Elephas maximus indicus: one gene and its partners. The protein of the gene in region 2 interacts with the protein of the main gene of each other region in a pairwise test. Links are inferred from orthologs where the notes say so. Each region holds a gene or a part of one and is shown on either strand. Other genes may lie near its edges. The genes, in order: RNF8, RBFOX2, ATXN1L and HMGA1.

Region 1 (7,947 bases), on a different chromosome or scaffold from region 2:
TGGGAAAAGTGGTACAGAAAAGGTAGAATAATGTAAAGAAACTCTACCTTGTTTTAAAATTGCTTCCTACAGGCTTTTTTCACAGAAAAAGAAGGAATCATCCTTTCTCATACTTGTCTGCACTATCTGGCCCTAGAAATTACCTTGGCAATATTGACTTTTTACCAACACCAAGGTTGAATTGTCTTCAGTGAGCTTATCTGAAAATTTCAGCACTGTTCATAACACAAAACTAAATTTCCCATGCAAACTGAGTGCCATCAAACGTTTCCGGGATCCATATGTTGGGGGTTGTCTCCATTTACAACAGCTTTGCAAGCCTTTGAGCTTACTGACATAATTGGTTTAGAAGATCATCTTGTCCTTGTCTACCCTCACCAATGTTATCCCTTTCCCTCCTGGGTATTATGATTCCTACTGTTTCCCAGATGACTAGCAAATACTCTAGAACCATCCTTGCCTTTTAGGAAGATACTATAGTTTTTTTATAGTTTTTCTTTAAGGTCTAGATACTCACAGAGCCCAGAAGCTAGCTAATTTGCAGTACATCTGTATTTTATTTGTTATCTGTGAAATCTGAGACCAAGGGAAACTGGAAAGGTAGGGAATGGACCTTACACTGCTATTATAGTTAAATGATGTCAGCATACCTCCTAAAACTTTGTGCATACCAGCCTATGCTATGATTTGGGGACCATTAAAATAAGACCTCATCTCTTGGCTTTGATTCAAGTCTTTCTTCATACACACTGCAGGCTATGCTCCAACTACTTCCTAAGACCCAGTCTTGCAGACAGCCAGGATAGGCCGGCCTCTGTTCTGCATAGGCCCCCTAGGCAAGCCACAGTCATTCCCACTAAGTCTTCAACATTCACTTAGATTTGCATAGGTCTCTCTCCAAAGAAGAGGCACCACACAAAACTAACCCATAGTTTAAAATATGTCTAGGAGAGTTTTAATAGTCCTCTCTCCCTTGGTTCAGGTGCTTTAATCTTTCTGCCCATGCCACTCCTAAGATACTCAGTGCTACCAAGGTATTCAGGAGAAGTAATAAATTAAACCATTGCAACTGAATCTGAAAAAATGAGTAAACACTTGACCACTACGCACCTCAAAGGGTTGTGTGTCAGAGTATAGTGCATAAGTAGTGATAAGATTAATTAATACATGTGAAAGCCCAAACCCTATACAAAATAATGTCAGTTATTATTAATTTATAATTATTAATTTGTTAAACTTCCCAAAGGTATATGGTTTGGAAAAAGCCATACAGGGAAGTGAATGAATGTCTAGTGTGGAATTCAAGGTACTGATACTTGGGTGGAAGGGATGTTTTGGGGCAGAAGCGTCTTTCTTCCTGGTGTTCCTGAAATAACCCTCTAATGTAGTCACTTTAAGACTGGACCTGAATCCCTCTTCTGACTTGAGGAGCCACTCCTCTAGAATAGTATTAAATAATCCATATATAAGCACTTGATCATACAGCCTGCATGGATGTTCTCAGACTACTTCACTGTATAAATCCTTCCCCACTCAAGCTACAAATACTTTGAGTACAGAGGTTGTTAAGATTTGTCCCTCTCATAGTACACCAAACAGCATAAAAATAAGTACTCAATAAATACGTGGGAGACTGAATTGAGACTATATGACTTATAGGGAAATCTAATCAAGCATACATAATAATCAAAAATCTTTAATTTAGAACATAATGATCAGCCACCTAGTTTTACTACAAAATGAACCTGTTTTACAAATTATTTCCCAAACCCAAACGGTTCCTGGTTACCACAAGCTGGTCCCTGACCCAGCTCTCCGTCCTAACCGGATTGCAATCTAATTCCTCCCTCCCCTCTCTTCCTTCACCTCCTCTCACCTTTTCTTTTTTGTTTTGTTTTGCTTTTATGACCGCATTAGCAAACATTATAAGCAAGCTCTGGAAAGGAGAATTCTTTAAAAATGTCTGAATTCCCACTCCCGGCCCATCTCAGGGTACCACTCGGTACGTGTCACGGCATAAAGGTGATCCATCCCAAAGCGCCAAGCTTTCTCCAAGAGTTAAAAAGGAGAAAAAGACCGTTACATTAAAGTTTGAGTATTTTGGAGGATATAACCCAAAACTCGCAATCGTTTTCAAAATAAAACTCGATAAAGTTCACGCTCGCGGTAGCCCTTCCTGGCCAGGCTCCGATCCTTGGCTGTTGGCGACTCGGGGTGGAAGTTGCGGCAGCTCCGCCCCACGGTTCCCCGGCCCCGGACTCGGTACTGCAGGGCTCCGAGTGACCCAAACAGGGGCTGTCTCAGTCCCTCCCTGCCCCTCACCCCAGCGTCTTCTCACCCTCTCTGCGTTCACTCTCACTATGCCCCCTCCACCTGGCTCTGTCCGCAACCACGACTCCCGCCCTAGCTCGCCCCCTGGGCCCAGGCCTCTGTCAACGGGGCCAGCTTCTCGTCCCAGTATCCTCGGACCAGGCCTCTGTCGCCACTCCGCTCCCTGTGGCCCTCCAGATTTCCCCCGAGCCCTCCTTTCTTCCTTTCTCCCACTTTGTCCCTGCTTCCTCCAATGCCCTGCCCCCTCAGATTCCCCCAACCGCTCGCACAAGAACCCCGGTGACCCAGCCTCACGCCTCTCTCCTCCTCCCCCTTCCCGGCCCGCCCGGACGCCTCCCCTCCGCTCTCCCCCTGCTTGCCCCAAACCCCTTCCCTCGCCCTCACCTCGCTCCCATCCTCCAGCAGCAGCCACTCGGCGGTCATCCCAACCCGCCGCAAGCACCAGCTCCGGCCACCGGCGCGGTCTCCCGTGACCAAAGAGTCGGGCTCCCCCATAGCCCACTCGGCCCAGGGCAGGCCCGGGTCGCGGTCAGCACACAGCGAGGCCCGGACCCCGGCTCCGGCGGCTTCTCCGCTTCCTCGCGGCCGCCATACCTAAACACCAGACAGAAGCAATCGCCAAGCGCTCGCGCTCAGTGCGAACCCACACTCGGGCTGCAAGCCCAGCCCAGACCCGGCCAGCGAGCGGAGTCACTGCGCCTGCGCGAGAGGGCGGGGCGGCCCGCGGGGTGGCTGTGTGGGGCGTTTACCCCCCGGTACGGCAGGTGTCGCCTGAGGCACGCTAATTCTCCCCCAGTCCCCTTCCTCGCTAGAACCGCTACCCCAGCCTGACTGCCCCAAATAGGAAGCTCTTCTCACCGTTCCTTTTTTTTTTTTTTTTAATTATTTATAACCGCATTGTTATGATAGGACACCTGGTGGTGCAGTGGTTAAGCGCTTGGCTACTAACTAATAGGTGGGCAATTCGAACCCACCTCCGCGGGAGGAAGATGTGGCAGTCTACTTTCACAAAGATTCACAGCCTTGGAAACCCTACAGGCAGTTGTATTCTGTCCTATAGGGTCGCTGTGAGTCGGAATCGCCTTGGTGGCAATGGGTTTGGTTTTAATTATGATGATGATATCCATATTATTTAAAACGATAACCCACTTTTAAACAACCTTTAAACTTGTGATAATGTTAAAATATGTTGTCTATTCTTAAATAGCATCTGTTTTGCAAGATGTCCTTTTATTCCCGGTTTAAAAAATTATACTGGGCAAATCTCTCGAGGCAGAAAGCAGATCAGTCGTTGCCTGGCGCGCTAGGTGTGGGAGCTGGGGATTGAATGCAAACCCGCTGGGCTTAGAGGGAATTTGGGGAGGGTAACAGAAATGTTCTAAAACTGGGTTGTGGTGACTGCACAACTGCATACATTTACTAAAAAATCGTTGAACTGCACACTTACAATGGGTGAATTTATGGAAAGTAAATTACTCTCAATAAAGTTAATTCTTCCCTTTGATTTTCCAGTATTGTGTGGTACCTGCTCCCTGTAGTGACTACCTCTGTGATAAATTCAATGCCCCATTTTGTCTTTTCAGTTTTCTGATACCTGGTTGACAATTTTCCTATATTAAATTCTGTCAGGAAAAAAATACATGTACACTAAATGAATTATACAGAGCACAATAGTAAATGACTAGTGTTTATTGAGAGCTAAGTGCCAGGTACAAGGTCAAGCATGCTACATACTTTATCTTATTTGTTGTTCACAAGTAATATGATGATGATGGCTTCCATTATAATTCTCACTTTAGGGATGATGAGAAAAGAGCTACAGAGAGATTAAATAATCTTCCCAAAGTAACGAACTAAGTGGTGGGGCAGGATGCTAACTTAGGTTTGTTGTTGTTGTTGTTAGCAAGTAACAACATAGCTTCCATCAAATGGAGACCACATACACAATGGAACTAAATGCTGCCTGGTCCTATATCATGTTGTTCTTGTTGTTAGGTGTGATTGAGTCAATTCCAACTCACTGCGACCTTATGTATAGCAGAACTAAACGTTGCCCACTCCTGTGCCATCCTCACAATCATTGCTGTGTTTGAGCCCATTGTTGCAGCCATTGTGTCAGTCCATCTCATCGAGAGTCTTTCTTTTTTTCACTGACCCTCTACTTCACCAAGTATGATGTCTTTCTCCAGGACCTGGTCCCTCCTGATAACATGCCCAAAGTGAGTGAGATGAAGTCTTTTGCCATCCTCACTCCCAAGGGGCATCGTGGCTGTACTTCTTCCAAATCAGATTTGTTCGTCCTTCTGGCAGTCCGTGGTATATTCAGTATTCTTCACCAACATCATAATTCAAATGCATCAGTTCTTCTTCATCTTCCTTCATATGGGCCAATTGGAAATACCATGGCTTGAGTCAGGTGCACCTTAGTCCTCAAAGTGACATCTTTGCTTTTCAACGCTTTAAAGAAGTCTTTTGCAGCAGATTTGCCCAATGCAATACATCATATGATTTCTTGACTGCTGTTTCCGTGAGCATTAATTGTGGATCCAAATAAAATGAAATCCTTGACAACTTCAATATTTTCTTCATTTATCATGATGTTGCTTACTGGTCCAGTCCTACATCATAGCAACACACAGTTCACCAGTGACAGACAAGTGGTGAGCTGTGCATGCGGTGCTTTGGCAGGGAATCAAACCTGGATCTCCCACATTTAAAGCAAGAACTCTACCACTGGACCACCAATGCCTCATAACTCAGGTCTGTTTAATTTCCCAACCATGGTTGCAATCCCAGCCTGGAGCATTTTACCTGTGTGGCACTGTCAGATCAAGAATTGTGGTCTGTGGTGGCACAGGGGACAAGAAAATTAGAGAGAGCCCATAGCTGCACTCATAAAGATGCTTCCTCAAACTAGGAATCAGCCCTCACTTCACCTAGTATTCTGTCCCAGGAACAGCAAGTGTACCTCGAGGCCGTTCTGACTCTGTTGGTGTAGTGGTTAAGAGCTCGTTTGCTAACCCAAAGGTCAGCAGTTCAAATCTACCAGCTGCTCCTTGGAAACCCTATGGGGCAGTTCTACTGTGTCCTAGATGGTCACTATTGGAATCAACTTGAGGGCTATGGGTTTGGTTTGGGGTTTTATCTCCTTAGGTTTCTTATGGCTGTGACAGTTTCTCAGACTTTTTCAATAACCTTGACAGTTTTGAAGTGTACTGGCCTGGTATTTTATAGCATGTCCCTAACTGGGATTTGTCTGATGTTTTTCTATTATTAGACTGGGGTTACGGGTTTGGGGGAGGAAGACCACAGAGGTAAAGTGCCATTCTCATCACATCATATCAAAGGAGCGTACTATCAACATGGTATCACTTTTCATGTTAAGCTTTATTACCTGGTTGAAGTAGTGTTTGCCAGTTTTCTCCACTGTTAACCTATTCTTTTTCCCCCTTTCCATAATGTATTGTTTGGAAGGAAGTTGTTATGTGCAGCCCACACTTAAGGAGTGGGGTATTAGGCTCCCCCTCCTGGAGGGCAGAGTATCTACCTTATTTAGAAGTCTACATGGGACATTTGCCTTTTCTCCTACATTTAGTTCTTTATTTAGTCATTTATTTATATCAGTGTGGATTCATGGATATTTATTTTAAACTTTAGGTTATAACCCCATACCACTTTATTTTGTTACTCAGATTGTTCCATCTGTAACCACTAATAGCTCGTTCAGTTGGTTACTAAATCCCTTTGACATAATCCCAAAATTGTGTTTTTTTTTTTAGCACTTCCTTAATTTCTGGCAAAAGATGGCCCAGTCCTAAAATCAGCCATTTCTCCAAGGAGTCCTGGTTCCTTTCATTAGAAAATAGTATTAGAAACCAAGATCTGGGTGCTAGGTATGCTCCTTGCTACTGAGATGTCATTGGTTCTAGGCCCTCTCAGTTGACAGAACAAGGAAATATATGTGTATACTGACCCATGTGTATACTCATATCTATATATATCCATCTGTAAGCTAAACATGAGTTTATGCTGATGTCTTCAACTCGAATCCATTACCATGTGGATCATTCTAGTCATCCCCCATTACTTATCTGTAACCTCCAACTCCAAAAGTGAGAAATTTGGCTCCCGCCATCCGTTTACCTAATTGTTCATTTCCAGTATACATGTATAATGGTTTCAGAATTGTTAATCCATACCCCTATGGGAAACAACTTTATAGACTAGAATACAGTGCTTATGTGCAGTTCCTTTTGTCTTTAGTTTTACAGACTCTACTCATTTCGAAATGCACATTTTCTCCCCCATCCCTTTCAGTGAGATTGTTTCATACGTTTGTAATACAGATATATTCTTTTGTCACAGTTTGGATTCCATCCTCAAATTCCCTCGATCTCCTAAACGATTTTTTTGAATTTGTAAATATTGTTTCACTCTTTCTGCTATAAAGTTCAATGGGTTTCGATGAGTGCATAGCATCATGTAGCCACCATTATAGTATCATACAGAATAATTTCATTACCCTGAAATATCCCCTGTGTTTTGCCTATTCAATCCTCTCCCTTGCATCTTTAATTTAACAATATATCCTGGAAATCACTCCATAGCAGTATATACATATATTCCTTCTTCCTCTTTATAGCTGTATATACTGCTCCATTGTGTGGATTACCATTTTTAATTCGACCAGTCCCTTATTGATACACAGATTCTTTCTAGTCTTTTGCTATTACAAATAGCCCTGCAATGAATTAGTAGTTGCCACTTTTTTTAATTATACACTTTGCGTATATTGTCTTACTTAATCCTCACTACCATCCTGCAAGATATCATTATCCCCATTTTATCCATGAGGAACATAAGACTGCTGGGTTTTCCAAGATCTTGTTGACATAAGCTCCTTGGGGGTTATGTTTTATTTTTCATTGTACTCCTGGCATTTTATTGAATGAATGAACGTGACTCAACTAGTAAGTGGCAGTGCAATGACCTGAAGCCAGGGCCATGAGCCTGGGTCTATCTAGCCCAAAAGGTTGCATCCATTGTAACCTAGCAATAGTCTCTAAGGTGGGATGGCCATACTCTAGAAACTGCACAAAATGACCCATTTGCTAATGGAAAGAAAATATCAGGATGCCTAATTATATTTTTATCCTGTCCTAAAAATATTCACTTTTGTTAATATTTTATAATTACATGAAATAACATCATAGGGGATATATATAGGTTTTGTAAGGGAATACAGAAATATGCATACATATATATATAAATATGCATACATACATTGTGGCTGTGTTCTCATTGTTTGGCTGCTAAGCATGCGTGATCAAAACAGTTTGAAAATCACTGCCTTCTAAGATTTGGGGATTTTATTAACTCTATTCCTTTATACCAGTGGTTTTCAACCAGGGGTGTTATTGCCCCCCCACCCCACCCTGAGGACATTTGTCAACATCTGGAGACATTTTTTAATTGTCATGACTGGGCTGGGGGTGCTACTGACATTTAGTGACTCAGAGGCTGTTACACTCCCTACAAATCACAAGACAGCCGCATAACATGAATTATCCAATCTAAAATGTCAGTGCCAAGATTGAGAATGCCCATTCCAAGAGT
Region 2 (8,000 bases):
TCTTCATCACTGGTAATAGTCCATTTCTTTATTGCCTGTCTCTTCCCATTAGAATATCAGTTTCTTGAGAATAGGGTCTTTATTTTGTTCACCGCTATATCCCCTAGGGCTAAAACCTTGCCTGGCACAGGGCAGCTGCTCAGTAAACATTAGCTGGACGAATCTTAATTATTCCATCATTATTGTCAGCACGATACCAGAAAGTCCTAGAGCTATAGGTCCTCTAAGCAAAGTATCATCTTTTCACGAACACAATTTCTCCTTTACTCCCAATTACACCTTAAATTTCAACCTTCCCATAAAGCCTTCCTTGACCAATTCGGTAAGAATGACCATCTCCTTCTTCTGGACCCAGGGGCACAAGTCCTCTGTACACTGTGGCTCTAAATTATGCAATGCCTTGTGACATATACCTACTTTGTGGTATTTCTACTCCTGTTCCTCCGGAACTTAAATAAAAAAATCATACACACACAAAAAACACATTTTTTAAAAAAAAAAACTTTTCACCCATTGTGTCTCCCCATCTAGACTGAATTATGATAAGGACATGAAACTAAACTTGTGTGTTTTTAGTAGGTAACTCAGAAATCATACTATACAAACACTTTATTTTACAACTAAGGAAACTGAGGTCCAAAAAGAAGGGATTTTTCAAAAACCATACGGCAAGGTGCTCTACCGATGATGATGTGAACACCTGTGTGACATGGTACAATGGGAGCACAACAGTGAGAATGGACACAGTGAAAAACTAAACAAAGAATATCCATAAACACACAACAACAACAAAAAAAAGGGATTCTCTGTGGGACAGTTCTAAGTCACCCATTTATACCCAAAGGACCTAACCCACTCCTTCCTCTGCATGTCCCCTAATCCCAAAACCCTGTTCCATTTCCAAACACTCCTGTCCTTAGTCAATTTGAAGGCAGTCAGCAAATAATAGGCCCCAGGAGGGAAGGAGGGAAAGGGGAATCTGACTATTAACTGGTAGAAACAATAAATGAATACACACACACAGGCACACATTAGGTAGAACACGCTCACTAGCACCCACAACCCGTCTCCCCTCCTTACCATCCAATGCTAACCCACTTCACCTGAAGTCTCTCCATATTCCTCTAAATTTTCTCCATGGCCCTGAGCTTCTACTTCTCATAATCCCTCTGCCTGACAAACTTCGAATGGAGAGTAAGAGCAGGCAAACACAAAAGAATTCCAAAACAAACAAGAGGGTCACTTTACCCAAACCAACAGAAGTAACAGAGTGGCCTCTGCAAAGGAGACCGAGAAGCATACAGCAAACATGCCAGGCTGAAGTACAGCTCCTCCGTCTCCCACACAGGAAGTCATGCAGGGCCTTGAAAAGCAGGGAGCACGGCACAGGAAGTCTTTTAGCTTTGCACAGATTTCCAAGGGTAGTGTAATGGACAGACCACAGGAATAGGAATTACAAGACCAGGCTTCTAGTTCTAGTTTTACTACCAGCTACCTGGTCGGTCTTAGGAAAGTCAGTAGTCATCTCTGGACTTCTGATTTGCCATCTGTAAGATGAGATGGTTAAAACATCTTGGCAACTGCATCTCCTCAAAAAAAAAAAAGATGAAAGCTACTGACTCTCCCTCAAAAATAGTGCACATACACTATTTTGCGTAAGAAGCCTCTAAACCGATCCAAGTGCAAAAGCCCCGGAAAAAATGTCTCTGGTCCTTTCTATCTTTTAACATTCTATGATTTTCAGAGGATTAGGCAGATGTCTGAACAACTGCTGGTAAGTGAGCCCCACCATTTCATTGCAAGTATTTTCTGAACAGAGACGAAATCCTAAAGCCTACCAAGATTTCAAGCTCTTCGTCTAACTACAAAGACATTGACGGCATCCCTACATTTCCCATTCCCCATCCAAATCAACCAGCTTCTCCTGAAGTCCACAACCCACAATCCAGTCTCCTAATAGTCCTATAAATTTTCTTATGCCCCAGGACATTAAAAAGGTATTCGGTGTCCTGGCTATGTAGGATGCAATCGGCAAAGTACAGGAGGGACAGTTCTCGTATCTCTTCAGACTCATTAGCATGCTTCACAAAGTTAATGAGACTGAGCGCCACGGTGTCCCTACAACACTACCAAACTCCCTAGACTTCTCACCCTCCTGGGTAACTGATTTAACCCACAATCTAAGCCACATCCCCTTTCGGCTCTCTCTAGGAGTTCGCTGGCTTTTCCTCCTCTCCTTCCTTTGCCCATCCCAGCGTGTGTCGAGGGCTGCTGAAAAGGCACTGCTCCTTCCTCTTGGGAGCTTTCCCACCACCGCCGCCCCTCATCCTCGACCCAGCCCAGCGGCTCGCCTCTAGGCAATACACCCAGAAATTCCCGGCTTCCACTCCACCCCTAGGAACTAAGAACGGGTTAGAGGGAATGGAATCCATCTCAACCGTGTACAATTTCCCCCCATAAACCTACTCACGTGCGTCCTGGTCCCCTCAGGCGTCAGGACCCTCTTGGCGCCCCAGATCCTCCTGCACCCTTCGCCGCCCAGCCAGAGCCCGCCCCACCTTCCAACCAGGCCCCGACCGGCCCCCTCCCACCTCCGATCCAGGACCCCCGCCCGCCCTCCTCCTCTCCAAGCCGGGAAGCCCGGGGCCGACCCTCCCGGCCCCCGCGAAAACGGGGCGCCCCTGCCGCGCGGTCACCTGCATCCCGCCGCCGTCGGCCGTCGCCTCCTCGGTGCGCGGCCGCTTGCTCAGGCCGGGCTCGGCTCCGTCTCCTCCCCCTCCGGGCACCGGCAGCTCCAGCTCCGACTCCCGCTTCATCCCCCGGGCAGCGGCGCCGGGCCCGAGCTGAGGTGGCTGCTGCGGCTGGGCGCCTTCCGCCATCCGCCCGCGCCCGCCTCGCCTCCGGGAGCCGGGCGACCCGCGACAGGCCACCTCGCCCTGGGCCTCGGCCCCGACTGTCGCGACAGGCGGGCGCGCGCCTGCCCCCGCCCCCCCGCGTGCGTGCGTGCGTGCGCGCGCGCGCGGGCTCGGCGCCCCTCGGCGGCCGGCGGTCGCCGCTCCTGGCTGGCGGGCGCCTCGGCTCGCTCCCCGCGCCCCGTCCGGGGCCGCCGCCGGGTCGCCACAGGCGCTCGCTCGCTCGCTCGCACCCCCCGCTCGCACACACACCCCAGCGCCGGCCTGCGCGCCGCCCCGCCTCTCACGCTCCCGGAGCTCGCCTGCCGGCCGCGCTCGCCCTCTCCCACTCTCCCTCACACGCCGCGCGGAGGGAGGAAGGGGGCGGTCCGGCTCCCGAGCTCTGGGGAGGGGGGCTTATTAGGGGGGAGGAGGGGCTCGTGGCTGGGACGAGCTGACTGGCCGGGATCCTCCGACCCGCCACTGTGGCAGCACCGGGAAGGCGGGGAGAGAGAAAGGAGGAGGGAGGGACCGGGATCTGGAACTCCAGCCCGCGCGGGAGGCTGTGGCGAGGGGGCGGTGGCGGCGGCGGCCCGGCCCGTCGAGGGGCGGGGCCGAGCCCCTCGGCAATCTCCGCCGCCTGGGCTCGGGGCGCCCGAGGGAAGCCGGGAAGAGATCGGGGAAGTTCGGGAATCTCCGATCCGAACGAGGAATTGTCCTGGAGGTAGAGCCGGGCTGGAGTTCCAGGAGGCGCGGAGGGGGCGGAGTCTGGTTTTCCTTAGGGGTGGGGCCAAAGCCTAAGGCAGGCAGGGCTTGGGACGCCCGAGAGCAGGGTAGCAGCCCCCGCTTGGAAGGCTTATACACCCATCTGGCAGCGTTGGTTCCCAGGGCGTGAAGAGGCACAGTGGGAGGGGCTCGTTGCCTGCTTCCTCTCTAGCCGAGGAATAGGGAATCTCAAGTTGGAAGGTCCAGGAATAAGGCCAATCCTACATGGGTTCTGAGAGCTTTTATTCTAATAGTGATTATTATCACATATGAGTCGGAATCAACTCGACAGCAACGGGTTTGGGTTTTCTTTTTTTTAATCATCATAATAATACCTGGTGCTTTTAAGAGATTTATAGTGTCCACAAGGCATTCACAGACCCGTTTTGAGGCAGGTAACACAGGCAGAGTAGATGCCATGATCTCCGTTTCACTGATAATGAACCTGAAGCTTGGTTAAGTCCGACAGCTAAAAAGTGATAAATTCAGATCTCAGGATACAAATCACATTGTCTTTCTCTACACCTTGCTGCCTGAGTAAAACTTTATTGCGTATCGACTTTGTGCCATTAGAGATAGTTGCAATAGCTTTTCTCTCCCACCGAATAGCTGATGGGCACGTGCTTACTCAGGGTTCCATAATGTGCCTCATACATTGCAGGGATACAGTGATGTTGCATAAACAGCATGGCTTTTAGTCTTTGCCCTGCTAACTAGCTTAGACAGTCTATTTCATCTCTTGGGACAGCAGCTCCATCATTTGTAAAATGAGGAAATGATTTAGATCAGTGGTGCTCAAACCAAGTAAGGGGAAAGGAAGGATTTTCCCCACACCCCAACATTTGTTAATATCTGGAGACATTTTTGATGGTTACAACTGGAAGGTGCCACTGGCATCTAGTGGATAGAGGTCAGGAATGTTGCCCAGCATCCTACAATGCACAGGACAGTCCCCACAACAAAGCATTAACCAACCCAGAATGTCAGTAGTGATGAGGTTGAGAAACCCTGGGTTAGATGATTTCTAAGGTAATTTCCAAATGTGTCCATGATTTGGCCTTTGAACTTGGGTTTAACCTAGGCGGCGTTAAACAGTACAGTGGTAAAGACTCCTGCTTTGGAGTCAGACCAACTCAGGTTTGAACCCAGGCTTTATCACACCATGTGGTGTTGGACCAGTGGTAACAAGAATTTCTGTATAGAAGGGTGTTAGGGGTCCTTGTTAGGGAGAAATGGAAGACTTGTTTTGAAGTTGAATTTTCACAGTGAGCATATTGTTTTTACTTAGGCTGTGTCATAGATCAATAAAAATAGCCACGTTTTAGTTCTGGCATTTATAAGCCATGAAGCCTTATGAAGGTTACTTAACCTCTCTATGCCTCAATTTCTTCATCTGAAAATTAGGATAATAATAGAACTTCTGGAAAGGATTATCATAGAATTAAGTGAGGATTAAGAACTTCAAAAAGCCTGTGGCCAATGGTAAGCACTCAAAACATGTTTTTAAAAAAAAAAAAAAACTCATTGCCATTAAGCCAATTCCAACTCATAGTGACCCTATAGGACAGAGTAGAACTGCTCCATAGGGTTTCCAAGGCTGTAAATCTTTACAGAAGCAGACTGCCACATTTTTCTCCTGTGGAGCAGCTGGTGGGTTTGAACCACCAACCTTTCACATAGCAGCTAGCACTTAACCACTGAGCCATGTTAGCTGTTATTATTACTGTTATGATTTTATTTGTGCTTTATATAAGAGTGGAAAAAAGCCCACTGTCAAGATCAAAGAATATCATTATCATTATTACTTTTATCATTATTATTATATACGGTGGCTTGGGTTGGGCCTCTGGAAATTAGAGTGGAGGCTCTGCAACTCACACCTTGATGCAACACTGTTGGGCAAATTATTTATTTTCAATAAGCCTTACATTCCTTGTCTGTAAGATAACAATAGTAACAGTCACAGTGTTGTTCTAAGGATTAAATGAGACAAAATAAGTAAAGTGTTCACCACAGTCCCTAACATATAGTGACTACCTAATAAGTGGTAATTGTTTATTATTTTATTTAGTGATAGTAAGCTGCTCGCCAGATGCTTATAAGGCTGGAAAAAGAAGCCTCAGCGTCTCTTAATACAGCCATTTAGATCATCAAGTTGGAAGTCCAATTGCCTGCAAGCTTATTCTTGAGCTGAATTAGACAGCCCCAACCTAATAGGGGGCTCTAGTTAGCAGTACCCCACAGCATATGGGGCTTGATCCCATCCAACCAAGCAGTTCAGCTTTGAAGAAACATCAAAATGTTTCCTGGTGGCCTGTGGAACAAAGATGGCTTAAAAAAAAAAAAAAAAAAAAAAACCTAAGGACATCAGTGATTGGTTTTATGAAACATTTACTTATTGAACTGGTGTCTTAAGAATTCTTCCTCCCTCACCACCTTCCTTGCCAATATACTGAAATCTAAATGACACTAGGTCCTTTTGGGGCTGCCCCATGACCCAGCAAGAAATGAGATTTGGTATCAGGGCTGCCTGTGACTCAGATTATTATATTATTCATGTAACTCTCAAATCCCTGAGAAATAGAGCAATGCAGTATAGGAATGTTTGATTTACCAGGCAGAACAAAGAGAAATTGGACCCTGCCCTGTAAACAAGCATTAAGCAATTAGGGAGAGAGAAGAGAATCCAAAAACCAAACCCACTGCTTTCGAGTCAATTCAGACTTATAGCAACCCTATAGGACAGAGTAGAACTGCCCAGTAGAGTTTTCAAGGCTGTAAATCTTTATGGAAGCAGACTACCATATCTTTCTCCTAGGGAGCAGCTAGTGGGTTCAAAATGCTGACCTTTGGGTTAGCAGGTGAGCATTTTAGCCACTGTACTACCAGGGCTCCTCGAGAGGAGAATAGAAGCCTACAAATATTAGAATAGGCCGAATGTACCCGTGGCAGCACAACAACTAATATAATTTCTTTTATTTAAATCTGCAGCTATCTGTTTGAAGACAGGTGGTTACAAAACACATCGAAGAGGACAATTAAAGACTATTTTCCTAGAAAGAATTTTTAGCTGCCAAAACTACTGCAGCCCTAACATTTATTCATTTTTCTATTCAAAAAACTGTGGACAAGTGCCTGGGATACCAAGATGAATAAAATTTATTCCTGGTACCAAGGAAGTCACAGTCTGGAGGGGAGAAGGGATGAGCAAATAAAAAGACAATTGCAATGAATCATCATAAGGTCATCTCTAGTGGTCAGGAACATGGACTCGGGTGCCAAGTAGATACGGATTTGAGTCTGACTATGCCATATACGTGACCTAGACTCATTAAAAACCCAGTGCCGTCGAGTCGATTCCAACTTGTAGCAACCCTATAGGACAGAGTAGAACTGCCCCATAGAGTTTCCAAGGAGCACCTGGCGGATTTGAACTGCCAACCCTTTGGTTAGCAGCCATAGCACTTAACCACTATGCTGCCAGGGTTTCCCTAGACTCATTAACAACCTGCAATATGCCGATGACACAACCTTGCTTGCTGAAAGCAGAGAGGACTTGAGGCACTTACTGATGAAGATCAAAGGCTAAGGTGTCCAGCATGGATTACACCTCGACATAAAGAAAACAAAAATCCTCACATCTTGGCCAATAAGCAACATCATGATAAACGGAGAAAAGGTTAAAGTTGCAAAGGTCAAAGTTTCATTTTACTTGGATCCACAATCAACACCCATGGAAGCAGCAGTCAAGAAATCGATGCATTGTGCTGGGCAGATCTGCTGCAAAGGAGCTCTTTTGAAGTGTTAAAAAGTAAAGATGTCACTTTAAGGACTAAGGTGTACATGACACAAGCCATGGTGTTTTCAGTTGCCTCCTATGCACGTGAAAGCTGGACACTGAATAAGGAAGACTGAAGAAGAATTGACACCTTCAAATTATGGTATTGGTAAATAATATTGAATATACCCTGGACTGCCAAAAGAATGAACAAATCTGTCTTGGAGGAAGTACAGCCAGAATGCTCCTTAGAATTGAGGGTGGCAAGACTTCTTCCCAAGTACTTTGGACATATTATCCGGAAGGATCAGTCCCTGGAGGAGGACATCATACTTGGTAAAGTGGAGGGTCACTGAAAAAGAAGAAGACCGTTAACGAAATGGATCGACACTGCAGGTACAACAATGGGCTCAAGCATAGCAACCATCATGAGGATGGCGCAGGACCAAGCAGCATTTCATTCTGTTTACACGGGGTCACTATGAGTCAGAACTGTCTTGACGGCACCTAACAACAACAACATGCCATATACCTGACCTTGGACAAGATCCTTAGCACCTTGTCCT
Region 3 (7,160 bases), on a different chromosome or scaffold from region 2:
TTCTTTTTGCTACCAAAGACTAATGTGCCATCTTCTTTCCCTGAGCATATGACCTCATCCTTGTTTCCTCTCCCCAGCCTAATTTGGATTATGATCTCACCTAACTCTACCCCCACCCCCCAAAGCCTAAACTCTCTTCCTCCTTTGCCTCTTATCACTACTACCTCAAGGACTACCTTGAGTATCACTAAGTCCTGGGGTCTGCTTGTGTCTTTTTTAAAAAAAACCTTGCTCCCTAAAAATGTTATGAAATCTAGTATCCTCTTTGCTTCACAAAATACCACATTCAAACCTGGGCCCTTATGGGGAGAGTGCCTGTTACCAGCTTGCTGTAAAACTTATTTGTTTCTCCTCCTCCTCAAAGAACAGCAAAACTCTTCTGATTTCATATAGGCCTCTTATTCCCTAGGCTGGCAAGAACCTCTTTTCTTCTCACTAACCACTTTCAACGTGCCTTCTTTTTTCCTTTGTGTTTTCTTTTGCCAGTGGTTCCTTTTCCATTACAGATCTGCTCTACACATCACTTCCTAAAATTCTGGCTCCATTCCTCCAAACATGCCTGTTTATTCCTATCTTAGGTCTGTGTGATTCGTAAAAAAGTTCTTACTCCCCTCCCCCACCGTTATAGTCACCTTTCAAAAATGCTTCTGTCCACTGCCAGACAGCATCTTTTCTGTCTGAACAGTTCAATGCACATGAACTTAGTCACCTATTTCTTCCAATCAGACTTCAACTCTCTGGATCTGAAGAGAGATTTCTGTATTATACTCTGTTCTGTTTTCCTACTGTTGCATCCCAGATGTTTCTGTGTAACAAGGAATCCAAAGTACCTGCATTACCTGAGCTTCCAGTGGTGCTTCTGAGCAGCTGTAGTAAGAAGCAGTCTCCTCCCGGTTGGCTTGGGAGCCTAGAAGGCAGAAATATGGATGAAATAAGCAGGAGCCTGACCTCTGACCCTCCCCAGGGTCATGAAAGGTAATTTCAAAGCCACAAAGACATTGAAGTCCACAAGTCCTTGCCTCACCCTCTTCTCCAGAGGTAACTGCACATTTATCCAGAGTTCCCAGGCAGTTAAATAGAAAAGAAAAGAAAAAAAAAAAAGCCATGTCTGAAGCTGTAATTTGAAGGAAGATATTCCTGGAAAAAAAATTTCCATGTGTCAAATTTCATTGTTTTTCTTAACACCATTTTTTTCATTCTCTATCCATGCCAATTCCCCAAGGTTAAATTTACTTCCAATCCCAATTTCAGTTAAATCTACAAATAAATGGAAAAGACTCAACATTGTTCCCCTGTGAACAATGGAAAGCAGGAAAAAAAAAATCAACTTCATGGACTTTGCCCTTACTTAGCACCATGAAAACACAGATGTGGGGGGTTTTAAATGAGAAAAGCAGCACTACAAGGAAGAAGAACAATTATTTATGTTTCTGGGGCAGAAAAAGAGGTCAAGGGGGGAGTCACTCAAGGGGAGTCACTCAAGAGGAAGCCTTATTAACAGAATTTCAGGCCAAAAAAATTGGCTCCAGTATGTGTGTGTGTAAAATGTTCTGAGTGACAACTTTGTAGCAAGTGCTGAATCGAGTGTGACAGAAAACGAAAATGTCACCCTGGTCTTCAAGTAGCTAACAATGGGGAAACAGAAGAACCATTCAACTATCGACACCTCAATCTACACATGCCAGAGATGTCAAGCACAGAACAGGAGCCTTAACATCTGAAGACAGAGAAAGCAGTACGGATGTGTACTCTCGAGAAACTTTCGGCTGCCCCGTCCAAGTCCTACAGAATACTGCAAGTCTCAGTCCAAACTGAAGGCACGTTATATGGGCCTGGAATGTTCCGTACACATTTCTCTTAAGACAGGCAAGATGAGGAAGTACAGAAAAGGTGAAGAGATAGGAAAACAAGGTGTAAAGACAAATTCCTAGTTTCATAAACACAAATTACACAGCGGTAACAAGTCATGCATCCCTTTCTCTTCCAGCAGTTCCAGTAATTGAAAAGCAGCTTTCTCCTCCACTCCTAACAGAAGTTAGATTCACATCTTCAATCCCAGAATGATCCTTGTCTCTTGTAACCAAACCATTAAAGAAAACCTGTCTCTAGACCCTTGAGGGATTAGCAAACACGGGCTAATAAAATGACTGAAAGAGGCAAAAGGTCTGCGGGAATGACAACAAAGAGGCAAGCTTGTGCGCCGGGTTCCCACAACGCAAAGCACACTTCGGAAGCTGACCTTGGCCTCTGGAACAGCTCAATGAGAATTTCTTCTGGAGAAGACATATCTTGTGACCCCAACTGAGCTAACGGGTCAGGAGACCGTTCTGGGCAGCTGCCAAGAGAGCCCAGAACGAAGCTCCCCATCACGCTGGGGTTGAAATCAATAGGTAGAACCCAGCTCCAAATCCGAATTCACGGAGGGCAAGGGGTACACCCGAAAGACAGGGAGAAGCTTGGAAGAGACTAGGGTTATGGCTCCCTGAGAACCCGCCATCTCAATTCTAACAAGGGTAGGGCCTAAAATTAGGAATTCTGAGTTTAGAGAGTGGGAGTCGACCCTTCAAGCAGAGAGGGAGCAGGGGCGAGGCCCCGCAGGCGGCGCTTCCTTGTTTGGGGGCCCCTTCCCGCCCCGCGGACTCGGACACCGGCCCGCAGGGACTCAGCCGCGGCGGCGCCGGGGCCTGAGGCCCCCTTCCAGGCCAGGCTGGAGAAAAATGCGCGGGGGTCTTGGCGCGGCCTCTTTCGCTCCCTCTGTTCGCGGTTCTCGGGCCCCAACCCAGTGGGGCAACAGGCTCTGGGGGACCACTTCCTCCGGAGCTCCGAGCTCAGGCCTGAACTTAGCGAGGCCGGCCAGACTGCCCCAATGCCCGACGACACTCACCGGCCCATCTCACGGCGCTCCCCGGGCTCCTCCCTCGCGTCCCGGAGCCGCCGCAGCCGCGGCCGCCGCCATCCCCGGCCCGGGAGCCGCCCCACACCCAGCGCCTCCCCCCGCTCGCCGGGCGCCGGGAGATGGCGTCACGCGTCCCGCACCGGCGCGAAAAGATCCCGTCATGGTCCGGGCTAGGGAGCGACGCCCGGGACTCCCCTGAAGGTGGAGGTTGGCCACCTGCCCCTCGCCCACGGCGCCTCTTCTGGTGGGAAAGCGCACTCCCTCCGGAATCGACTCGATGGCACTGGGTTTTTTCTTTTTTTTTTTTTCTGGCTGGCACCGGGTCACATGAATAGGGTGCCTGGTCGCCTTACCGTACCCACCAATGACCTCGCAATCTCCCCTCCCTTAAATTCGGGAGATCCTCAAACAGAGGCCTGAGGCGTGGCCACCAGCGACCCCTGTTTCCTGGACTTCCCGGGCTTGACTCACGTAGCTTCCTCTTGGGAACTTTGGGCAACACCGAGGCGGCCCAGGCCCTGGAGAGTAGGGAGACCCCCTCACTGGAGACCCAGGGTGGAGATGGTAACTCTTAAAAGTTTAGAATTGGACATAAGTGGGGACAGAAGAGTGGACAGGTGGAGCTTGTAATAGGAGACCTGAAAATTAGCGGGGAGTGAGACGAAGGGGTTTAGTACAGAGGGAAGCAGCTTGATTTAGTGGGAAGAGGGTTGAACTACTCCATGAAATGTTAGGTCACTATTCATCACAGATTAGGTGGTGCGACTTCATAGTAACATGAAAATCCGGTTAATTTAAGTGGAAAAAAAAGAACGCCAATTTGTGCTTTGGTTTAACTTTGTAAAAAGGAAGTAGTTATGCATATGGACAAAAACTAAAATAAACCGAGAAAAAAATAAATTTGATTATTGACGAGATTGGATTTTGAGTGAAATTTTTCCTTTCAGTTTCTGCAGGTTATTTACTAAATACAGGCTCTACTTAGTAAATAATAATTAATTTTTGTTTGTTTAAAAAGTATTGACTGGGCTGGGATCCCTACTCTGTTGCTGCCTGATCTTGGAAAAGCCATTTCTACACTTTAGGCTGGTTTTCCACTTCTGCAAAATGCGGAGTTTGAACTGGATAAAGGGGTTGGTGTAAAATGTAGATAGAAGAGAACTCCAAACATTTGTTAAGTGAAAAAATAGGCAAATATGTGCAGTGTGGTATTTATTTAATGTTAAAAAACACATAACATTATATTTGCAGAAAAGGAGTAAAAGGATACATTGATTTCCTCTGGGTTGGAAGTGAGATTGGATGGTGGTCACAAGATCAGCATATGTTATCGCTGATTTTTTTTTTTTTTTTTACGAGGATATATTACCTCAGAAAAATAAAAAAGTTAAAATACCAAGAAAGTATATGATCCCTAAGATTCCTTCTATGGAATCCTTAGACCTCAATTTTGATATTTTCGTACCTAGAATGGGCACACAGGATCTTCAAAATTACTGAACACTACCCCCCACACACATTCACACATCCCACACAAGTGGGCAAAACAGTGATGTTACTGTTCTGTAGCCATCTAAATCAGCAGAGGGTTTTGTTTTGTGAATATTAATATTATCCTTCACTACAGTCTCCTCCTCTCTCAGTTTAGCCAAGGAGGAAATCCTGTGGTCACTCAGTGAATGCGTTTTAGCACTAACTGGCATTCTGGAAGCCCTGATGGAGTAGTGGTTAAGAGCTATGGCTGCTAACCCTGTAGCTTGGCAGTTTGAATGCACCCGGTGCTCTCTGGAAACCCTGTGGGGCGTTCCCACTCTGTGCTATAGGGCCACTATGAGTTGGAATTGATGGCAACGGGTTGGGTAATTTTTTTTTTGGTTTGGCATTCTGGTTTCTAGTTCTTTGCTAGCTCACTAAACTGGCATTAAAACCGCCAAGATACAGACTCTTGGACCAACCAGGTGCACTCAAGATAGCCAATTTCTCCCAGATTAAGATATGTACAAAATTGAAAAAGTAGACACAGGTAGATGACAGGAAAAAAAGTTTTTTAGCTACCAGTATTAGCATAATGATGTAGTGAAAAGGCGTGTCTGTTTAAAAACCAGGATGTTCTGATTGGTGAAACATAGGTAATTTTCTGGTTTGGTGCTGCAGTTCCAGAAGGGTGGGTCATAGTTTACTATCTTATTCTAGAATGTTTAACTCCTCCAAGCAGTCATCATTTCTTTGGTTCTACATCTTGACGTAGGAAGCTCTGTAGTTTGACAGGAACATTAGGGATAAGTTAACTAATACAGTTTTTTAGATTTATGAAACTAAAACAAGTTATTTCTTCAAAAATCTGGAATATTCTCTGAATATTTAAGTTACTTGTATTAAGTAAGCCCAGGGTCTTGTACACTGTAACAGGCTCAATAAATAATTATTGACTGAAACTTCACAAAGATATGCCAAGTTGGGAGACTTTCCTTCCTAATTCTCTTGCTCCCATTTCCTCATTTCAATCCTGTATTTTTCCCCATTTGTTAAGTATATATTTTCAATCTTATCTGAAAGCCTTTCATTTTCTTCGACTGAGTTTTTCTTCCACTGAGTTGTAAGAACTGATAAAGTGAAAAGAGATTTTTAAAGATAGTTGACGCTCAAAATTTAAGCTTTAATCTGTTGTCTCCACCCTTTTCCCTGGATTCCTATTGAAATCCTTCGTTTGGCACAGATTGAATTTTTTTCATGGGAGAGCTTGAGCTACTTCTTTGGAAGAAAGAAACAAAATACAAACCCTGCTGTGCTGGTTATTCTCCTTAAGCAGGCAGGAGCGTCAAACCAGCTCTCTGCATTGCCCAGTTCCTCCTTGGTCTAATTTGTAGACCTGTAATACAGACTGTGGAAGCTTAGACAACCATCTCAACTCTTTTTGAGGTTAAAAGGATAAAACCAGAGAGAAGTGCTGATAACTCAGAAACCTATGTGTGTCATAAGAGAGGTAAAAAAAAAAAAAAATTTTTTTTTTTAAGAGAGGTAGGTGGCTTTTTTTGTACTGTCACGTGTTCCTGCTTGTATGCTTCAGCGTATAAAGGTGACTTACCTTTAGATACCAATGACAGAAACAACTAATCCCAAACATACATTGAAATTATGGAAATACTTTTGTGAATTTAGCTTTGCCTGGAGAAGTGTTGGTGCCTGGTAATGGCTTATTTTTCAAAAGCATTTCTAAAATGTCCAATGCAAAAATATGCAATTTTCAACCTTCTATTTTATTTACTTCTCTGGATGATGCTGTGTCCTCATTCCCACCTTTGATGTTATGTGACCTGTCCATGTTCCAGCAGAGCTTTCCCTCTTAAACTCATTAGTATTTTATTTCAAAGGAGTCTTGTAATTCCCCCAAAAGTGGCTAATACTTCCTTCGGGGAAGGGGATGTCCCTCCCTTGTCTACTTCCTCAGACACTTGCCAAAGACTTTCATTTTTGTCCCAAACTTCCTGTAGAATTATCAAAAGTTGCAGTAAAAACACTGAGGATTGAAATTGCTGACTGAAATATAGCCCTTATTTGAATGGGAAGAGTCACACCTGGAGAACTGGTCCACAGAAAAACAGGTGCGTTCAAGCCATTGCTGAGTAGCCAGGAATTCCTTACCTGGGGTTTGTTGAATGAATAAAGTGGATGTGGAAAGATTGGAATGCCTCCTCCCCTGAGACACTGATAACTCTCTCTTTCTCTGGGAAACTTGCTTGGCAAGGTGATTTGTGAGTTGCTGTTTATCTACAGTAGTAATTCTCAGAGTTGTGGTGAAATCATGTTCAGCAGTGGCTTCAAAGCTGATTGTCTTCAGGTCCACTTGCAGCTGGTTGCCAGTCACCTAAAACTCCCTGAAAAAAAAAAAAAGTGAGTAAATACTGCAGGCAGCACAGCAAACTGCTTCTCAGATCATCTAGCGATGCAATCCCTGAGACCATGTATCTCCTAAGGCTTTACTTAGCAATTTGGGAATTTAAAGACCTATTTCAGACTCAGAGAAATGTGGCAATGATTATTATGGTAATCAAGTAATTTTTATTTCTGAAGTCTGTTCTGTATCTTGACTGTATCTGCATCAATATACTGGTTGTGATATTGTACGACAGTTTTGCAAAATGTTATCACTGGGGAAAACTGGGTAAAGGGTAAATAGGATCTCTGTATTCTTTTTACAACTGCACATAAATCGGCAGTTACCTCAAAATGAAAAGTTTATTTTAAAAAGTTTGAAAATGTTTAA
Region 4 (7,715 bases), on a different chromosome or scaffold from region 2:
CAGATGGCATTTTTCTCTTTGACCCTTACTTACTAGAAGCACGGGTTTCTACCTCTGACCTTTCTGACAGACCCTAACCCCAAGAGTCCTAGCAGGGCTGATTCCCAAACCTTCTTGGTCCTTTCCTGGCACTTTCAGTCTTCTCAGAGGCCTGTTTGAGTTTAAGCCGCCCCACTAAGTCTGAGTTTGCCTAAAATCACCCACTGCCAGTTGAGTCTGCATCCTGTATTTGAGACCCTCTTCCAGAGGCTTAAAGAGGACTGTGAGGGTTCCCCACATCTCCACCCCTGTCCTCCCAGTTACCGATAGGAAACAGAGATGATCTAGGAGGCCTATGGCTCTACACTTCTCCCCCAGTAACCAACCAGTCCCTATCTGCCTTGGGCAAAGGGTGGCCCCAAGTGCCTCTGCTTCTGAAATCTCTCCATCTGTAAAATGGATGTAATAATAAGTGACCTGAGCCAACTAACTCTGCGTATTGCTATGAAGATCAAATTAAATAAGTTAAAAAAAGATACTTTAAATTGCGCTACATACATGTAAGATGTGCTCAACCTTCATTTTCTAAGAAATAGCAGGGGGAATCTTGGCTCCAGTCAAAATGAGAACTAGAACATTTGAAAACAACTTTTCTTCCCCCTTTTCAGATCTTTAAGCATTTTCCAATTTTAACCCAATGGAAAAAAAAAGACATTCCGGTAAACTTGTGATTTTTGGAGGGCCGAGGCCCCCATCCTCAAGCATAAAGAGGCCCTCCAGACAGCGGGACTTTGTCTGATAATTATTCTATTTTACAATATTTCAGACTTGGAGACCCTTTTAAACAAGGTGGTTGGTGATTTATCCTGCTCCATCATTAGCGGCTTGGCCTGCTCTGTAATTACAGGCAGTGATTAGAATCTTATATTACACCACAGGTCTCCCTTAAAAACTAAACATCAAAATTAATCAGCTAAATGAGGGCTGACCTCACATGAGGTTTGCCAGGTCCCCCTAACAGAGGGGGTTCCAGTTGAGCGAAGTCAGCCCTGAATCCCAGAGAGCCTGAAGATCCTGGCCGGTCTCCTTGGAAGCTCTTATACCATGCGGCCCCCAACCTCTTGCTACTAGGACCCTTTAATCCACCCGTCCTTCCTCCCCACGCCCAACCAGGCCCCCAGAACCTGAATGAAAGCCTGAGGCCTTCTCTAGAGAAGCCAAGAAATGCCTGTCTCTTCCACCTGTTTCTAAACATCAGGAAGGCCTGGCTTGGAGAAGCCACATTTAGGGCCCAACCTCAATCCCTCCATTAGTAATAAGCCTGCTTGGGCCTCAAGCATGTCCCCTACCTACACTGTGTATGCAACGTGTGCTCCACAAACGCTTAGGGAGCCTGCAAAAATGGCCCTAGGAATCATCTTGGGAGCCCCCTTTCCTTGTTTTCCAAAGAAGAAGTAGCCCAGAGAGGCTTGATGAGTTGCCCAAGGTCACACAGCAAGTTGTCGAGCATAGGTTGGAGTAGGTACCTGGCGATCCCTCCAGCCCGCCACACTTTTCTTCCCCACCTGGAGGCTGGTTATGTCCCTGTAGCCCCCTGCTCCAGACTACTACCCCGAGTGACTCTGCAAGTGTTTGTACCCGACCGTTGCAGGCCAGACGGCGGGACTAGGGGCCGGGGCGAGCGGGGGGAGGGGCGCAAGCCGTTCCTGCAGGCGCGGGAAACCGGCGCACCCTGACCGCATGCACCGCCACGCGGGTGCACCCGGCCCCACTTCCTGCCAGAGGGGGCACCCAAGCCCGCCTTGGGGCAGGAAACCTGGCGCGCGCGGGCGCAGGAGAGAGGAAGAAAGCCACCTCCCTCCGTGCCCTCCCCGCAAAATAAAACCCCCCCAAAAAATAGAAACGGGGAATCATAGGGACTAGTTCCAACAGAGCCCAGCAAAGCAGAGAAACCAGTTTGTGGGGGCGGAGGGCAGGCCCGGCCCTGGGGGCTGAAGAGGAGCGGGCCAGGCCAGAGGTGGGGTCAGGGTGAAGCCCCAAACCCAGGCCCACGATCCGGCCTCATCAGCGGAGGAGGGACCAGGAAAAAGGCCGAGGACAGTTAAGGGCGAATTGCGGGGTGCTTGCCCATCCCCCTCACTTCTAGAACTTCCCCAGGCTGCGGGGGGCGCCCGACCCACCCCCCACTCTCCCGCGGCGCCGCAGCCTGCTACTCTCTCCACCTTCTCGCCCAGGCTCTGGCGAGAGCGGCCGCCGCGCGAGGTGCACCCGGCTCTGCCGGGTGCACAACTCGCGCTCGCTGCAGCCGCGCGCCCCCTCCCCCACCGCGCGCTTTTCCCGGGTCCCCACCCCCCGCGGTGCGCCCGCGGTACGGGGGAAGGGGTGCGGGCGCCCACCCCGCGCCGCCAGGCCCTGCCGCCCGCCCCCGCGCCGCGCGGCCCTCCCCCGCCGGCGACTCGCGCTGCCCCGGCCTGGGAATAAAGCCGGCGGCGCGCGCTGCAGCCCCGGGCGGCTGGCAGAAGGGGCGGCGAGCAGGCGGGGGCGCGGGCGCCCCCAGCCGCCGCCGCCGCCGCCGCGGCCCCCGGGGACGACTCACCGCGAGCTCGGCCGCCGGCCTGCGGTGCGCGCTCGGGGCTGCCGGGAGCGGCGGTGCTGGGCGCTGAGGACCGGCCTGGCTCCGCCGCCGCTGGTAGCGAATGCGGATCTGAAACCAGGAGAGAGCAGAGGTGCTCAGAGCCTGCCGCCGCCGCGTGCCCGCCGCCCAGGCCCCCGCGGGGTATTTATATGCCACATCCAGAGGGGGGCTATTCCCCCTCCCCGAAGGATGGCGAGGGGCAGGAAGCTGGGCACGGCCCGTGCGCGGCCTCAATAAATAAATAATTTAATTAAATTATAGATATAAAAAAAAGGAAGCCACCGGAGCGGCCGCGAACTCACGCCTTCTTGGAGCCGCGCCAGCGCCAGAAATAGCCCGGGCTAGGAGTCCCAATTAGAGGAGCGCAGCCCCGGCTCAGGGGAGCTTAAAAAGAGCGACCCAGGGGCAGGGGGGACGGGCCCGCCCGCGCCAGCCGTGTCACTAAGGGGGCGGGGCCATGCAAATGAGCCCGGGGATTTAAAAGGGCGGCCGCCCGCCAGCCGCCACCGCTCGGGTGGGTGCTGACGGCGGGGAGGGGCCCGCGGTTCCTGACGTCGGGGTGGGGGGGAGCGAGTGCGCGGGAGGCGAGTGCGCGGGAGGCCTGGGCTGGGAACCCGAGGCTATGGCCCACTCGTCACACTCTCGGCCTGAGAGAACTGGCAAGGAGCGCAGAGAAATCAGGAAGCAGCTTTATGCGAGGGGGAGGGCGGCCTTTCTGCCCAAAGTGGGGTCCCCAGGCTAGTCACCTCTTGGGACCTTCTGGGCATGTGGGTCTTCCCTCTCCACGCACCGGTGGGCGTTCGTGCCTGCGGGGTCCACGCGGCGTGAGAGTGGAGAGACGCGAACCTGTTCAGAGAATTCCGCGGCCTATCCTCCGCCCCCTTCGCCCAGATACGCTGCTCATAGATCTCCCCTGGGCGGACAGGTGTCGGCATGTGCATTTCAGTGTCAACCCGCGTGTGGCTGGCTGGTGAAATACAAGTCTTGTGAAACTTGTGAAATTCAAAGAGTTTTAATTAATGGCCACGGGTGAGCCATAATCAAGGTGCAGCCTTCAAGCGAAAGAAACGATTGACTCGTTCGCAAGTCAATCCGAGGAGTCCTTCTTTTAGGTGACGTGGGTGGTGTTTTGGGACATGCGGTCCCAGTTTGTGACCTGGCCCTCTGCTGTGATTTTTTTTCTAAATAAGAAAGCGTGGGCAAGGGATCCCCTGGAAGCTCTTTGAGGGCAGGGGCTGAGTTTTACGCACGCCACACCCGCCACGCCTGGGCCGCCCGGCGCCTGACTCAACAAAAACTTGTTGCACAAACGAGAAGGAAGCCAAAGTGGAAAGATGGCGGGGAAGGCGGTGGGGGAAGAAAAGGCGCAGTCGGAGCGGCGCGCCCTGCAGGCCGGGGCCCGGGGCCTTCTTGGGCGCACCTCCCCGCCCTTGGGCCCTGAGGCGGCCTTCCACACCTCCCGTGATGCAGGGAATTGCAATGTGGTCCAGTGACACACGGCGGCTGTGACTCATGTTTTTCTTTGCTCCCCTTCTCCTCCCCGGTCAGCCGAGGCCCCGGCCCAGCCCCCTCCTCAGGAGGCGATCGGGCGGTGGAGGGGGACGCTAGGAAAACCCTGAACCCGGAGTGGAGGCGGGGTGGGGAGCTGGAGGGGCCGGGCCTCCTAGTTTCAGGAATGTTTCAGGAATGTTTCCGGTGGGGGTGGGGAACAGAGCCGGGAGTGGGCCCAGCCCCCACCCCAGGGCAGCGGGATGGCGCTCTGGGCCCGGGGCAGCACGTGCTCGGCCGGGTGGGGGTGGGGGCGCCTAGGCGGGAAGGCGCCGGGGGCTGAGAGAGCGGGTTCAAAGGGGAGGGCGCGGGCCTGGGGCCTGCCCAGGCCGGGGGTGGGCCCGAAGGCCGCGCTCCGCGCGCTGGTTCCCCGCCCTGCGCCCAGGTGAAAGGCAGTTCCTGAGAAGTCCTGAGGCCGCCCCAGAAGGGGAGAGGAAGTCACCGAAGGGCGCCCGAGGGGAGGGGAGAGAAGGGAGGAGGGGGAAGAGAGGGAGAGGCTGGGGGAGGGGCGGCCTGCCCCTTTGTCTGGAGCCGGTTGGTGGGGGTGGGGCGGGGTGAAGCGCGCGGCTCCCTCCATCTTTGTGTCCTGAGCATGGCGCGCGCGCTTAGTAGGCCGCGAGAAGAGTTGGTTGGAGGGCACTGAGTGGCGCGCTCTGGAGCCTTTGCAGCATTGAGTGGAGGGACGCGTCTTCAGCGCCTACTCGTCCACCCCCAGATCACAGGCCCCTGCTAGCAACCCGGTCCCCCACGTCTGGGCCATCCCCCCCAGAGCCCCACGCCCCTATATGCAACCCTGCCCAAGGCCAGCCCTCCCCACGGCTGTCTGGGCTTCTTGTACGAGGTTCTGGGGCTGGCCGTCAGGAAGGCACGGGGATGGTCTTGTTAGCCCCCTCGCCTGGACGCACCTAACCTCAGGGGTGCCTTCCCAGAGAGGGCGATAAAGGCGGGAGAGGGACTTCCCAAGTGGGCTGTGGGAAAACTCGGCCAACTATTTGGCCCACTTCTAGCAAGCCAATTTGATGTTTTTCCTACTCTTATTTTCCCCCTCGTCCTGATTTCCTCATTTACTTTTTTTTTTTTAACCTTGCATTGTGTGTATTTTTGTAATTCACCTCAAACCCTCTCTGGAAGGAGGCAGGTATAAATAAAGATGTAGGCAAATACAGTAAGCTGGTCCCCTCCAGGATTACCCACACCTTGAAATCCAAATAATTCTCTACCCACTGACCCGCACCTAAATGCTTTCTAGATTACAAATGTTCCGAATTCACACTCTGTACTTTTCCTCTTTCAATAGGTATCTCAAAGAGGGATGAGTAGTGGGGGTAAAAAGATGAAGAAGACAATCCCTGTCCCAGCAAATTTCCTGTCTAGGGGAATCTTGACCAGGAATGTCCAAGAGAAAGCTGAATCATAATCCAGGAGATGCCATGAGGCAAAAAGCATTCATTCAGTATTCACTGAGGGCCTACTCCATGCCAGGAACTGGCCCAAACTCTTGGGGTACAATTAGTAAATAAAGCAAAGTTCCCTGCATTCTTGAAACTTAGATTGAGGGGTGGAATGCTTAAGGAGAGCCTTGGTCGATGCTAAAGGAGGTCAGAGGTAAGAGATTGAGAACCTGAGGTGGTTGGTCAAGGAAGTCTCCTGGAGGAGATGGGCTTGAGCAGCCCGTGATGGGATTTGGATAGGTGGGAAACAGTGGGGACCAGGGAGAAGAAGCTATTCTAGGCCTGAGTCTAACCATAACGTCAACCAGGTTGGCCAAGATCTGAGGGAACCTGGAGGAGTTGGTTGGTATTAGACCCAGTCTTTGCCACAAGACGAATTTCCCAATGATCAGATTCAGGTAATAACAGTTTCCGCAAGTATAGCTCAATGAACATCAATGAACCCAAAAGGAGTATCCAGGTAATGGGGTGTTGGGTAACCTTAACTTTTCAGGACAGCTAAAAGTTAAGGTCATTTCCCCCTGAGCTATTGAAATTCTTCCTGAAGTGTGTTAGTTCTTTCCCTGACAATCTCTCAGTCCTGGTTTGGAAATGCAAATGTGGTAGTTTGGGTGTTCTTAGCATTCCCTGGGGATTCAAGTTTTCTTTCCTCCCATCTCTCTAGTCAGCATGTTTGCTTATCATTTTACCTCTTGCTTATCATTTTACCTCTTGCTTCTCAGTCAACTGCTGTTTTTAGAAGAGTAGGAGGAAAGACCCGTGTGGATGGTTAGTGATTGGGTTATTTAAGGTTTTCCAAATGGAGGGGGTGGGGGTGTGACTATGTATGGCATGGGGTATCCAGCCCAGCATGGAAGGTGGATGGGAAGGGGGAGAGAATCAGGAATTGCTGAGTATCATTGGGTGACTACAAACTCTATAAATTGTCCAAACCAGGGCAGTTTTAAAAGTAAACTTATTACTGACAAATAACATACGTACAGAAAATGCATAAATCCTAAGTGTTCAGCTCAAATTTTCACTGGGTGAACATTGTGTGACCAGCACCCAGATCAAGAAGCAGTTGCCGGCTGCCTTGTGTAACCACTATCCCAACTTCTAACAGCATTGTTTAGTTTTGTCTATGTACATTATATGAATGGAATCATACAGTATGTATTCTCCCAGGTTGGTTTCTTTCGCTCAGCCTAATGTCTGTGAGATTCATCCATGTTATTGTGTGGCTGTAGACTGTTCATTCTCGTTGCTGTGTAGTTAATATGGTATGAATGAACAACAATTTATTTATCCATCCTCTTGAAGGATATTTGGGTTTTTCCCTGTTTGGAGCTAATACAGTTACTGCTGCTGTGAACATCCTGAAAACCCTGGTGGCTGTAGTGGTTCAGAGTTCGGTTGCTAACCCAAAGGTTGGCAGTTTGAATTCACCAGGCACTCCTTGGAAACCCTATGGGACAGTTCTATTCTGTCCTCTAGGGTCACTGTGTGTCAGAATGGACTCAATGACAACAGGCTTGGTTTTGGTTTTAGGAACATTCTAGAATATGTCTTGATAAGCAAAGGCGTCCATTTCTGTTGTGTACGTACCTAGAAGAATTCCTGGATCATAGTATAGGTATGTTTAGCTTTAGTGGGCAAACAGGACACCTGAGAGTAAGAGGGAACACTATTAATAATTATGACCAGAGAACAGCATAAACCTGACCGGCCCATGTCAACCTGGGCGGACTCAGGATATAGGATCCAGCTTGGTCAAAGGTCCCTGCTACACAGTCTCTGACCACTATCCTCAAGAGTCATCTAGCTACTAGTGCATCTGGTCATCTGGCAGGATCAGGCCTCCAGACCCTGCTGACCACAAGCTCTTCTGCCAGCAAGCCTGGCAGGCCTAGAGTGGAAGGAGGGCCTCTTCTGGTTCCAACTTTCGAGGGAAAAACTCCCAAGTGAAAAGGAGGGCCTGGGAGGCAGCACCTCTCTGCCCCCTTCCTGTGAGCCAGTGGCTGGCCCACCCATGGCCTCGGGACACCATGGACTTTATGGCATTATTGAGGACTGGGTTACCAGGAAAGCCCAGCTCCTTTATAACCTGAAATAAAACCTGG

The links.
Region 1: the proteins of RBFOX2 (region 2) and RNF8 interact in binary tests that used the Homo sapiens proteins (3 or more experiments, as listed by UniProt). The two-hybrid records come from large-scale screens. The link is inferred for Elephas maximus indicus from reciprocal best matches to the Homo sapiens genes RBFOX2 and RNF8.
Region 3: the proteins of RBFOX2 (region 2) and ATXN1L interact in binary tests that used the Homo sapiens proteins (3 or more experiments, as listed by UniProt). The link is inferred for Elephas maximus indicus from reciprocal best matches to the Homo sapiens genes RBFOX2 and ATXN1L.
Region 4: the proteins of RBFOX2 (region 2) and HMGA1 interact in a two-hybrid assay, tested with the Homo sapiens proteins (2 studies listed by BioGRID and IntAct, with this or other methods). The link is inferred for Elephas maximus indicus from reciprocal best matches to the Homo sapiens genes RBFOX2 and HMGA1.

Annotation. Positions count from the first base shown.
Region 1 is NC_064819.1:101,041,967-101,049,913, reverse strand, and holds the start of RNF8 (E3 ubiquitin-protein ligase RNF8), read right to left. Parts: upstream 3,009-7,947; 5' UTR 2,827-3,008; coding exon 2,716-2,826; intron 1-2,715. UniProt on the Homo sapiens protein: E3 ubiquitin-protein ligase that plays a key role in DNA damage signaling via 2 distinct roles: by mediating the 'Lys-63'-linked ubiquitination of histones H2A and H2AX and promoting the recruitment of DNA repair proteins at double-strand breaks (DSBs) sites, and by catalyzing 'Lys-48'-linked ubiquitination to remove target proteins from DNA damage sites.
Region 2 is NC_064822.1:179,541,668-179,549,667, forward strand, and holds the start of RBFOX2 (RNA binding protein fox-1 homolog 2), read right to left. Parts: upstream 3,002-8,000; 5' UTR 2,880-3,001; coding exon 2,697-2,879; intron 1-2,696. UniProt on the Homo sapiens protein: RNA-binding protein that regulates alternative splicing events by binding to 5'-UGCAUGU-3' elements. Prevents binding of U2AF2 to the 3'-splice site.
Region 3 is NC_064839.1:38,614,982-38,622,141, forward strand, and holds the start of ATXN1L (ataxin-1-like), read right to left. Parts: upstream 3,006-7,160; 5' UTR 2,885-3,005; intron 908-2,884; 5' UTR 831-907; intron 823-830; exon of another isoform or gene 633-822; intron 1-632. UniProt on the Homo sapiens protein: Chromatin-binding factor that repress Notch signaling in the absence of Notch intracellular domain by acting as a CBF1 corepressor. Binds to the HEY promoter and might assist, along with NCOR2, RBPJ-mediated repression.
Region 4 is NC_064819.1:97,114,600-97,122,314, reverse strand, and holds the start of HMGA1 (high mobility group protein HMG-I/HMG-Y), read right to left. Parts: upstream 3,011-7,715; 5' UTR 2,917-3,010; intron 2,684-2,916; 5' UTR 2,576-2,683; intron 1-2,575. UniProt on the Homo sapiens protein: HMG-I/Y bind preferentially to the minor groove of A+T rich regions in double-stranded DNA. It is suggested that these proteins could function in nucleosome phasing and in the 3'-end processing of mRNA transcripts.